2 linked regions of the Mus musculus genome follow. The protein of the gene in region 2 binds, or shares a complex with, the protein of the main gene of each other region. Links are inferred from orthologs where the notes say so. Each region holds a gene or a part of one and is shown on either strand. Other genes may lie near its edges. The genes, in order: Shank1 and Arhgef7.

Evidence for each region.
Region 1: the proteins of Arhgef7 (region 2) and Shank1 are in contact, whole or in part, in a crystal structure (PDB 3L4F), measured with the Rattus norvegicus proteins. The link is inferred for Mus musculus from reciprocal best matches to the Homo sapiens genes ARHGEF7 and SHANK1. Residues at the interface, in XP_063131056.1 of Rattus norvegicus: Asp735, Ala737, Trp738, Asp739, Glu740, Thr741, Asn742, Leu743; in NP_113939.2 of Rattus norvegicus: Gly673, Phe674, Gly675, Phe676, Val677, Leu678, Arg679, Gly680, Ala681, Lys682, Phe696, Glu703, His735, Arg736, Val739, Ile742.

Annotation. Positions count from the first base shown.
Region 1 is NC_000073.6:44,308,754-44,313,147, reverse strand, and holds the start of Shank1 (SH3 and multiple ankyrin repeat domains protein 1), read right to left. Parts: upstream 2,885-4,394; 5' UTR 2,852-2,884; intron 2,164-2,851; exon of another isoform or gene 485-2,163; 5' UTR 442-484; coding exon 187-441; intron 30-186; coding exon 1-29. UniProt on the Homo sapiens protein: Seems to be an adapter protein in the postsynaptic density (PSD) of excitatory synapses that interconnects receptors of the postsynaptic membrane including NMDA-type and metabotropic glutamate receptors via complexes with GKAP/PSD-95 and Homer, respectively, and the actin-based cytoskeleton.
Region 2 is NC_000074.6:11,811,462-11,815,263, reverse strand, and holds part of Arhgef7 (rho guanine nucleotide exchange factor 7), read right to left. Parts: intron 2,668-3,802; coding exon 2,581-2,667; intron 322-2,580; coding exon 243-321; intron 104-242; coding exon 1-103. UniProt on the Homo sapiens protein: Acts as a RAC1 guanine nucleotide exchange factor (GEF) and can induce membrane ruffling. Functions in cell migration, attachment and cell spreading. Promotes targeting of RAC1 to focal adhesions. May function as a positive regulator of apoptosis.

The sequences.
Region 1 (4,394 bases), on a different chromosome or scaffold from region 2:
GTGGCATCTGGGTTGAAGCGTAGGCATTTCTGGTGGGAGACAGGATGTCTGGGGCTAGGTTGGGTCAAGGGTATGAGGGTCAAGGGTAGGTTGGAAAAGGAATAAGATTCCAGCTAGATCTGGGATTGAGAGTGGGGAAAGACTTGGCCAATGTGTCTGTCAGCTGGCAGGTGAGTGACCACTCACCGTCTGATGCAAGTCAGGGATGCCAATCCTGAAAACCATCATGCTGAAGTGGGCGTCGTCAGGGACAGACATGGAGCGTCCCTGGAGGCCTCGGGTAGAGGCCAGGTTACCAGGTGCTCCGCTGCCTCGGCCCCGAGTCCCCTGGGGGCCTCTTCCTGGCCCGTCTGGGGAGCTGTCCGATTCTGAGCCCCCCTCGGGACACTCGCTGGCACTGTGTCTTTCCTCGTCCTCGCTTGTCGCGGGGCTGTGGGTCATCGTGGGGCCACGGGGCGACGGGGGACAGCAGCATCACAGGCAGCTGAGAAAAGCAAGGGTGATCCTCACTGTTGAGCCACTCAGAGGCCACCAGTACCAGTGGACAGACACAGGGGCAGCCAAGGGAGACTAGACATGCCCTCAGCCCCCTGCACAGACAAGTTTGCACCACCTCTGCAGCCTTCCTGGCACCTTTCTCCTCCCTGTCCTTGGCCCTGCTTGCAGCCCCCCACCCCCCTGCGCTCCACTTTGTGGCTGACCCAGTGTGTCCTAGAAATCACAGAATCACCGCGGGAGCTAGTGGCCCACTTTGTCAAACTACAAAAAAATGAAGCTAAAATTAGCTAAGGACAGACAGGTGGACCAATCCACCCCGGCATCCTGCCCTCCTGGCCGGAGCCTGGCCCCTTCACCCCAGGGAGGTGGAGACTGACTTTTATAGTAAAGGTGAGATGGAGGTGTGAGTTTTGAGCCTGGGGCAGCAGGAGGTGCCCGAGAGCTGGTGACTTCACTGAAGTGTGGCTGACCACATGTTTAGAGGGCTGCTGCTGGGGAATGAGCTGTCCCTGTAGGGGATGGAGGGACACGAGTGGGGGTGGATGAACAGAAAAGAGAAGTTCCCCTGAGCTGGGCCCAAGAGACCCATGATGAGAGGTTACTGGGGCGTGTGAAGAGGATGTGTGGGTGGATAGGGAGGCTGGCCCTGGCTCTGGCTGGAAAGTCCAGGTGACAAGCTGTGGTGGCCTGGGTGGGTGTGGGCAGCTGCAGGTGACCTGTGGGTGTTTCAGGAATGGCACAGCAGGGTGGGTGGGCTGGCACTGCTTGGTACTGGAGGCTCCACCGAGGAGAATTTGGATTGGGTGGGGTGTCTGGGGAGGAAGCTAAGAAGTGAGCTGCAACAATATGGGGACCAGGAGATGGGGAGGGTCGTCCCTCTCAAAGTGGCCTACTGAGGGGTGGCTCCATTCCAAATGCGGTCCTCTTCTCTCCTGTTTGCCACCCCCTACTCCCCACTCTAGAACCGGAAAGCAGAATGTCTGGTCTGGTCCCTCCCACCCCACACCAGGCCCGGCTCCTGCACCGTTGCCATGGAGATGGGAAGCAGTGGAGGGTACTGCTGACTTTGGGGGAGTGGGGATGGGCTGGGGGGAGGGAGGGTTGGGGAAGGAAAGACGAAATGTTTAAGGAAGAGAGTTCCAAGAACTGTAGGCGAGCAGGCGTCTAACCACGGGCTGAGGAACCCTCCCCCTCGCGGGGACCGAGCTCTGAAGCACCCCATCCCAGGTACCCTGCCTTGTGGCTCAACCCGCTGGGCTGGGGAGGAGACCCGGGCCTCCAGCTCAGTCTGCTGACCGCCCTACACCACATCCCGCCTGGCAGTGTGACCTCAGCCACTCCCCCTCGGCTGACCCTGGCTGACATCCCCTTTGCAGCCCCAGCTCTGCAGGAAAGGGGTGGCAGGTGGGATAAAAGGTCAGCAAAGGCTAGGTCCCCTATAGCGCGGGCTCCACTGCCCCAACACCCAGGACAGCTCGGGGCCCCTCCCCCTCCGGCCTCGAGGGAGGGAGCGGGCACACTCCGCCGGGGCGGCATGAATCAAAAGCTCGGCGGCTAAGAATAGCTGGCACGCAGCTGGTACCGAGACGGGCTGAGGAATCGGCGAGGGGGGGGGGTGGCTAAGGGGAGAGAGGGGGTGCCCTGAGAGGCTGCGGGGGGACAGGGGACGGCTGGCGTGGCCAGGAGCCGGGCCCGGGGAGAATGAATGGAGGTGGAGGAAGGCGGGAGCAGGGAGGTTGGTGAAAGAATAGCCCTGGGTCGGGAGAGGGAGCTGGGACTGGGGGCGGGAGCAGAGGGGGCGCGCCGGCCTGCGGAGAAGGAACCTGAGGCGCGATGGGCACGCGAGGCGCGGGTGGAAAGGAACTACAGACGCCTGGAAGGGGCGCCGGGTCCAGGCGTCGTAGGAGGCTCTGGCCCAGACCCTGGGTTGGAGTGGTTGGAGACCAGGGTGACCTAGGGGAGGGGCCCAGGTGTGCTGGGGTGGGCGAGGCGGGGGAGTGGCCGAGCCGGGTTGGGAGGCGGGGACCAAGACCCAGTCTTGGCCCCGGAGAGCCTCCGAGACCAGTTCGGCTTAGGGGGCGCAGCACGTGGGGGATGGGGCACACCCTCCTAGCAAGGATACGATCTGGGACGGGGCACTCGGGACCAGGTCGCAACCCAATTTGATGTCACCCTTAGGGGCCATGCTACCTTCCACACCCTCACCCCCCCATACACACACCCTAAATGTACACCCAGGCCGGAGCCGGCGCCAGGCCAAGGACATCCGGGGCGCCTCCGCCCTCTCCCGCAACCCCAGTTCTCGCAATTGCACCCTACCCCAGAACCACCCTGTAGTGTCCCGTGCCCTTACCTGCCTGGCGGGGCTGCTGAGTCCCGGTCGGCGCCTCCACTGCCACCCGGCTCGCTCTCTTTCGCACTCGCTGTCTCTCCCTCACCCGGTCTCTCTCTCTCTCTCTCTCTCTCTCTCTCTCTCTCTCTCTCTCTCTCGCTCTCCTCTCTCTCCCTCCCTCCCCTCCCTCCGCCCTCTCCCCTCCCTCCGGGAGCCCGCAGAGAGATATCGCCCCTCCCTGAGCCCCCAAACCTCGCCCATTCTCCCCCCAACACACGCGCGGCTCCACCCCCCCCCTCGCCCTCCTCCACCCTTCATCTCCACTGCCCCATCCTCAAACCCAGACTCCACCCCTGCTCACCCCCATGTACCCCTAGTGGGATCCTGCTCTTCCTAGGGGAGCCCCTCCTCCAGATTGCTCCCCACCCTTTCTACACATGGTGGGGTGCTATTTGTATTTGTAGAGTCTGTATGTTCCCAAATCGAATACTGTGGGTTATAGATTCTGGTCCTGTACCCCCAAATGTGTGTACCTTCACCCCTCCACCCCGACACACACACACATACCCCTCCCCACATGCACACAACTTTCCATATGAGCTCACATACATGGAAGTACCTGAGGCACATACCCCTTCCCCCAAGCTGGTCCTGTAAACCAAGCATACCCACAGCTACCTACTCCTTAGGGCATGCTTGCCCAGTACACACAACCAGAGACACACACCCAGCTTCATGCACAATGTCACACCCCTGTGCCACAGCATACCGACAGCACCCTGCAAGATTGACCTACACCATACTCCAACTACATACTTAGATCTACCTACAAGAAGCACGGTAGACAGACCTGTGTGCTGTCCGAGCCAGCTCACCCACTCCACTGGTCATCACAGGTGTTTTTGCCTGTTTGCCTGTACACCCTGCCCACAGCACACCTCCCACCCCCCCAGCTATCCTTGAGTATACTATAGGTGCCAGGTTCAGTGACTTCTTTCCTGTCAAAGCACACAGAAAGGCTAAGTAATTTGGCCCAGGCCACCCAGCTATAAAGAGGTGGTATCAAGGGTGAAGAACACAGAAGGCTGTCTCCATCTTCTCCACAGGCCTGCTATGGTGTTTCAAAGAACATACCTGAAGATGTATACCCTTCTGCATTCTATAACGCCTCCAATTTCACACACATGGACACACAAAGCTAATTGTGTGCAGGTAGTCAGCTTTCTCCTACCTGGTACATTCACAGAGGAAGGCAGATTCATTCAGCATATTTCAGCCCTCTTCAGCCATGACTTCCACTTTGCCCAGCAGCGTCCCCAGGGCCACTAGGGAACACCAGCTCCTACAGAGGGTTGTTCTAGATAGTTTCTGAGTTTGTCTTCAGCTGCAGCTTCTCTGGGGCATCCTGGGATAAACTGGAGTTGGTACCCAGCTTAGAGAGGCCCTCATCTTGATGCACCCACCCAGGTGCCGAGCAGCTGCGCCCATGGAGAACAGCTGCTGGTGCTGGTACATACACTGAGCGGCTATGAGGCATTCTGCAGTTTACAAAGCCCCTCTGCAT
Region 2 (3,802 bases):
TTGCTCACAGATGTGACCTTCGTCTGCTTCTGCAGGTGTTCCACCCACTCGTGTAAGTCCTGCTGGCTGGTGCAGGACACCAGAATCCGCTCGATCATGCTCCCTAGAGAGGAGGGGCACAGTGAGTACACATAAGCACATGTACACACACACCCAGGACCCAAAGCCACCTCACACACCCTCAGACATATATAAGGCTCTTCACTCAAGGACATGGCACTGGCACAGTGTGGATACATTACCTGATATCTCAAATGCATTCCTATGGTTTTCACTGTCCTCAAGCTTTGTGATTGTCATTCCTGTTGTTGGCAGCTTCCCCTACAAAAGACCCCCCAAAACAATGTTTTCCTAATAAAGAAGGGACCACACACATTAAATGACTTCACACGTGGCAGCAGAATTAAGTGTACAAAAGAGCTTAAAGGACACCTTAAAGAACAGTCAAACCAGATCAAGAACCCAAACTGAACCAAAGCAGGATCTTGACCCAATGGGTGATTCTATGAGTGGAAGACAGAAGACGGAGCCAGGGTGCACAGTGGCTGCTTTAACGGCATATGACAGAGAACTCACTGCCTCACAGAGAAAGGAGTTAGGAGTTTGAAGAGCCAGCTGATGAGTAATGGAGACAAAAACACAGAGAGAGACAATTCAAACAGGAAATAAGCCGTGATGTCAAACGGATGCCACAGGGTGCCCAAGTGGCAGTCAGTCTGTCTGTAAAATGGGAGGGATTCTCCATGAAGCAGGAAATGCCAGCTGAGAAAAACAGGGGGACAAAGCTCATTTAAACAGTAAAAGCCAGCAGGCAACAGCTTTCCCTGGGCCATATAAACTGTGACAGCCAGCTGCCAAAGGCCACATCTTTACAAAGAGAACAGGGTTTTCACCAGCAGACAGGAGACAGGAGTTGTGCTGATGAGTTTTGTCCACTTGATACAACTAAAGCTATCAGCAGGAGAAAAGCCCAACAGAGGGACTGTCAGCCTTCCTGGGGCCCACAGACAAGCCTGCCCGGGTACTTTTGATTAGTGACTGACAGCAGGAGGCCCAGCCCACCATGCAAAATGCCACCTCTGGGCAGAGGCTTCAAAACCTTAGAAAGGCATGGCGGGTGGGGGGGAGCAGGGGAAGGCAGGCAGCAGGGCACTCCTTCTTATTCTCCTTCTCTGTTCCTGCTTGTCCTGCACTATCCTCAGGGATGGACTGTGACCTGGACATGGGAGTCAAACTGCTTATGATGTGTAAACAGAGGTCCAAAGCAAACAAGGAAAACTACCGACGACGGTTTCCCTATCTTGTGCCCTACTCCAGGCAAAAAACAAACCAAACAAACAAGTCACCCAGTCCAAACAGTTGAGGGCCAGGCTGAAAGCGCAACAGAGGCCTAACCCCTCAGTGGCTGAGGACAAGAAGCCCCACAGAGGAGTGTTGGCTGCGCTTTCCCAGCAGCCGCCTCTTATCTTCAGCCATGGAGCCGCAGTCCCACTGCCAGAGCTGCCATCCCCAAAGCCAAGGAGGTTCTGTTTTTAAGACGACTCTTGCTATGTAGCCCAAGCTAGCCTAAAAAATCTTGATTTTTCTGCCTTAGCCTCCAAGCACTGGAGGTGATGATCACCACAGGGCTAATCAGCATACTCCTGGGAACAAAGATGGCCCTGGTACAGAGATGGCATCTCTAGGAGCACGCTGCAGCAACAGCAGACAGCCCCTGCACAAGTGCCAGCCTAGGTTGGGGCTCTAGGGTATGGAGTGGAGCCAGAAACAGGCATCTCTCAACAGGGAGCTGCCACCCGGGCACCTTAGCCACCCAGAAGGTCTCACCAATGGAAGCCTCAGGTTTCTGACTCTTCCCATGCATATTTGCTCGGCCATCTATCTGTAAAGGCTCCCTTGGGACACCTGTGGTAACTAGCCCTCCTAGGGACAGACCAAGCCACATCTATTTTCCACAGGACAACATAAAACACACACATCAGAGAAAAGCCGGTTGAAAGTGAAACAACAACATCCACTAAAATAGTATGTGGAGGCTAGCCAGTCCTTGAGACAGGATCACTGATAGCATCTCCCAGACCCTACCTAATGTCCCCACCATTGGTGGGGACTAACAGAAAAGAGTCCCTCACACTCTCTCTTACAACTAACTCTCAAACGTTCTCCAAGAAATGGTGACAAACCAAGACACTAAAAGAAAGTTTACTAACAGTTTACTAAGGTTAAATGATCAGGTTCCAAGTCCAGAGTTTTGGGATGTTCTACCCCTTACTGAAGACCTTAGCCCTCAGCACCTAGCTGAACCTACCTTGGGCAGAATGGAACATGAAAGCCCAGAGAAGCAATGTGCTTTGCAGAGGACAATGCGGTCAGGGAGAGATGGATGTGGGCTGTTCACTGCTCTCCAGTCACATCAAAAGATGCAACAGACGTGAACACACAGAGTTCTTACACAGAGTCACGACATGGTACCACACGTGGCACACACAGGTGAGTACAACATTAATACATTCAATTCAAAGGAGAACAATTGCCACATCCACTACAAACAAAAACTACAATCAGTGTAGCTGTGTTTACCTGATAGATGAAACCACTCATCCTGGGACTTGCAGACAACATGAGCAGAAGGTTTGGGAAGAGCAGGAGGTATCTCTCATTCTTCTCCTAATAGTAAAAAGAATCTGTTCATAAATGTGTGCACAAATCTTTATACCAGATCCCATGGAATCTCAGACCTTATTTCTACTTGAGATTTCTACCAAACTAGATGAGCAATATTAAATGCCACCAGAATCTAACCAAACCCACATTAAACCTCAGCAGGTCGGAGAACTATAACCAGAAAGAGCTATAGAGCTTGTGAGCGCTTTGTAAGACCAAAAAAAAAAAAAAAAAAAAAAAGGGTTTATTTAGCTAGGTGTGATGGCACAAGCCTTTAATCCCAAAACATGGGAGGCAGAGGCAAACAGATCTCTGTGTATTCCAGGCCAGTGGTCTATATATTGAGTTCTAAGACAGTAAGAGCTATGTAACAGAGATCCTGTGGAAAGAGAGAGAATGAGAGAATGAAAGAATGACAGAGAGAGAGAAGGAAAAGGAAAAGAGAGAGAAAAAAAGAAGAAAGGAAAGGAAAGGAAAGGAAAGGAAAGGAAAGGAAAGGAAAGGAAAGGAAAGGAAAGGAAAGGAAAGGGGAAAGGGGAAAGGGAGAAGGAGGGAGAGGAAGGGGGAAAGGAGAAAGGGGAAAGAAAAGAAAAAGTAAAAGGTCAGGATATATTTCTTTGTATTGCTTATATGTGTGATGTCTTCCTGCATGTGAACAGAGCCCAAACACCACAAGAAGGTGTGGGACCCCCTGGAACTAGAGTTACAAATGGTTGTGAGCTGCCATGTGTGTGCTGATAATCAAGCCCAGGTCCTTGGGAAGAACATCCACTGTTCATAACCACTGAGCCCTCTCCATCCTTGTATGGAGTATCTTTGAATATTACTTGGTAACTGTCTGCGCGTGGCCCAGAAAAAAGAACTTAGAAACTGCTACTGAGGCCTGAGGACCGGTGGATTCTTCAAGCTACAAGAAAGTAGGACAAACTGTTAAGTCAATGTTGCTCTCATCTACCTGACAAACCTCTTCAGCTACATAAAAATATTTCTTGTACACTAAAAATCATTTGCTTCAAAGTAACAAAAGCCAACACACACCTAAGAGACAGGAGCCCAGAGATTCTGAAGGACAGACAGACAGGCGTGAGTCCTCCAGCATGAGCCACTGCCTTCAGATGTGGGTAAGTGAACAGCTTTC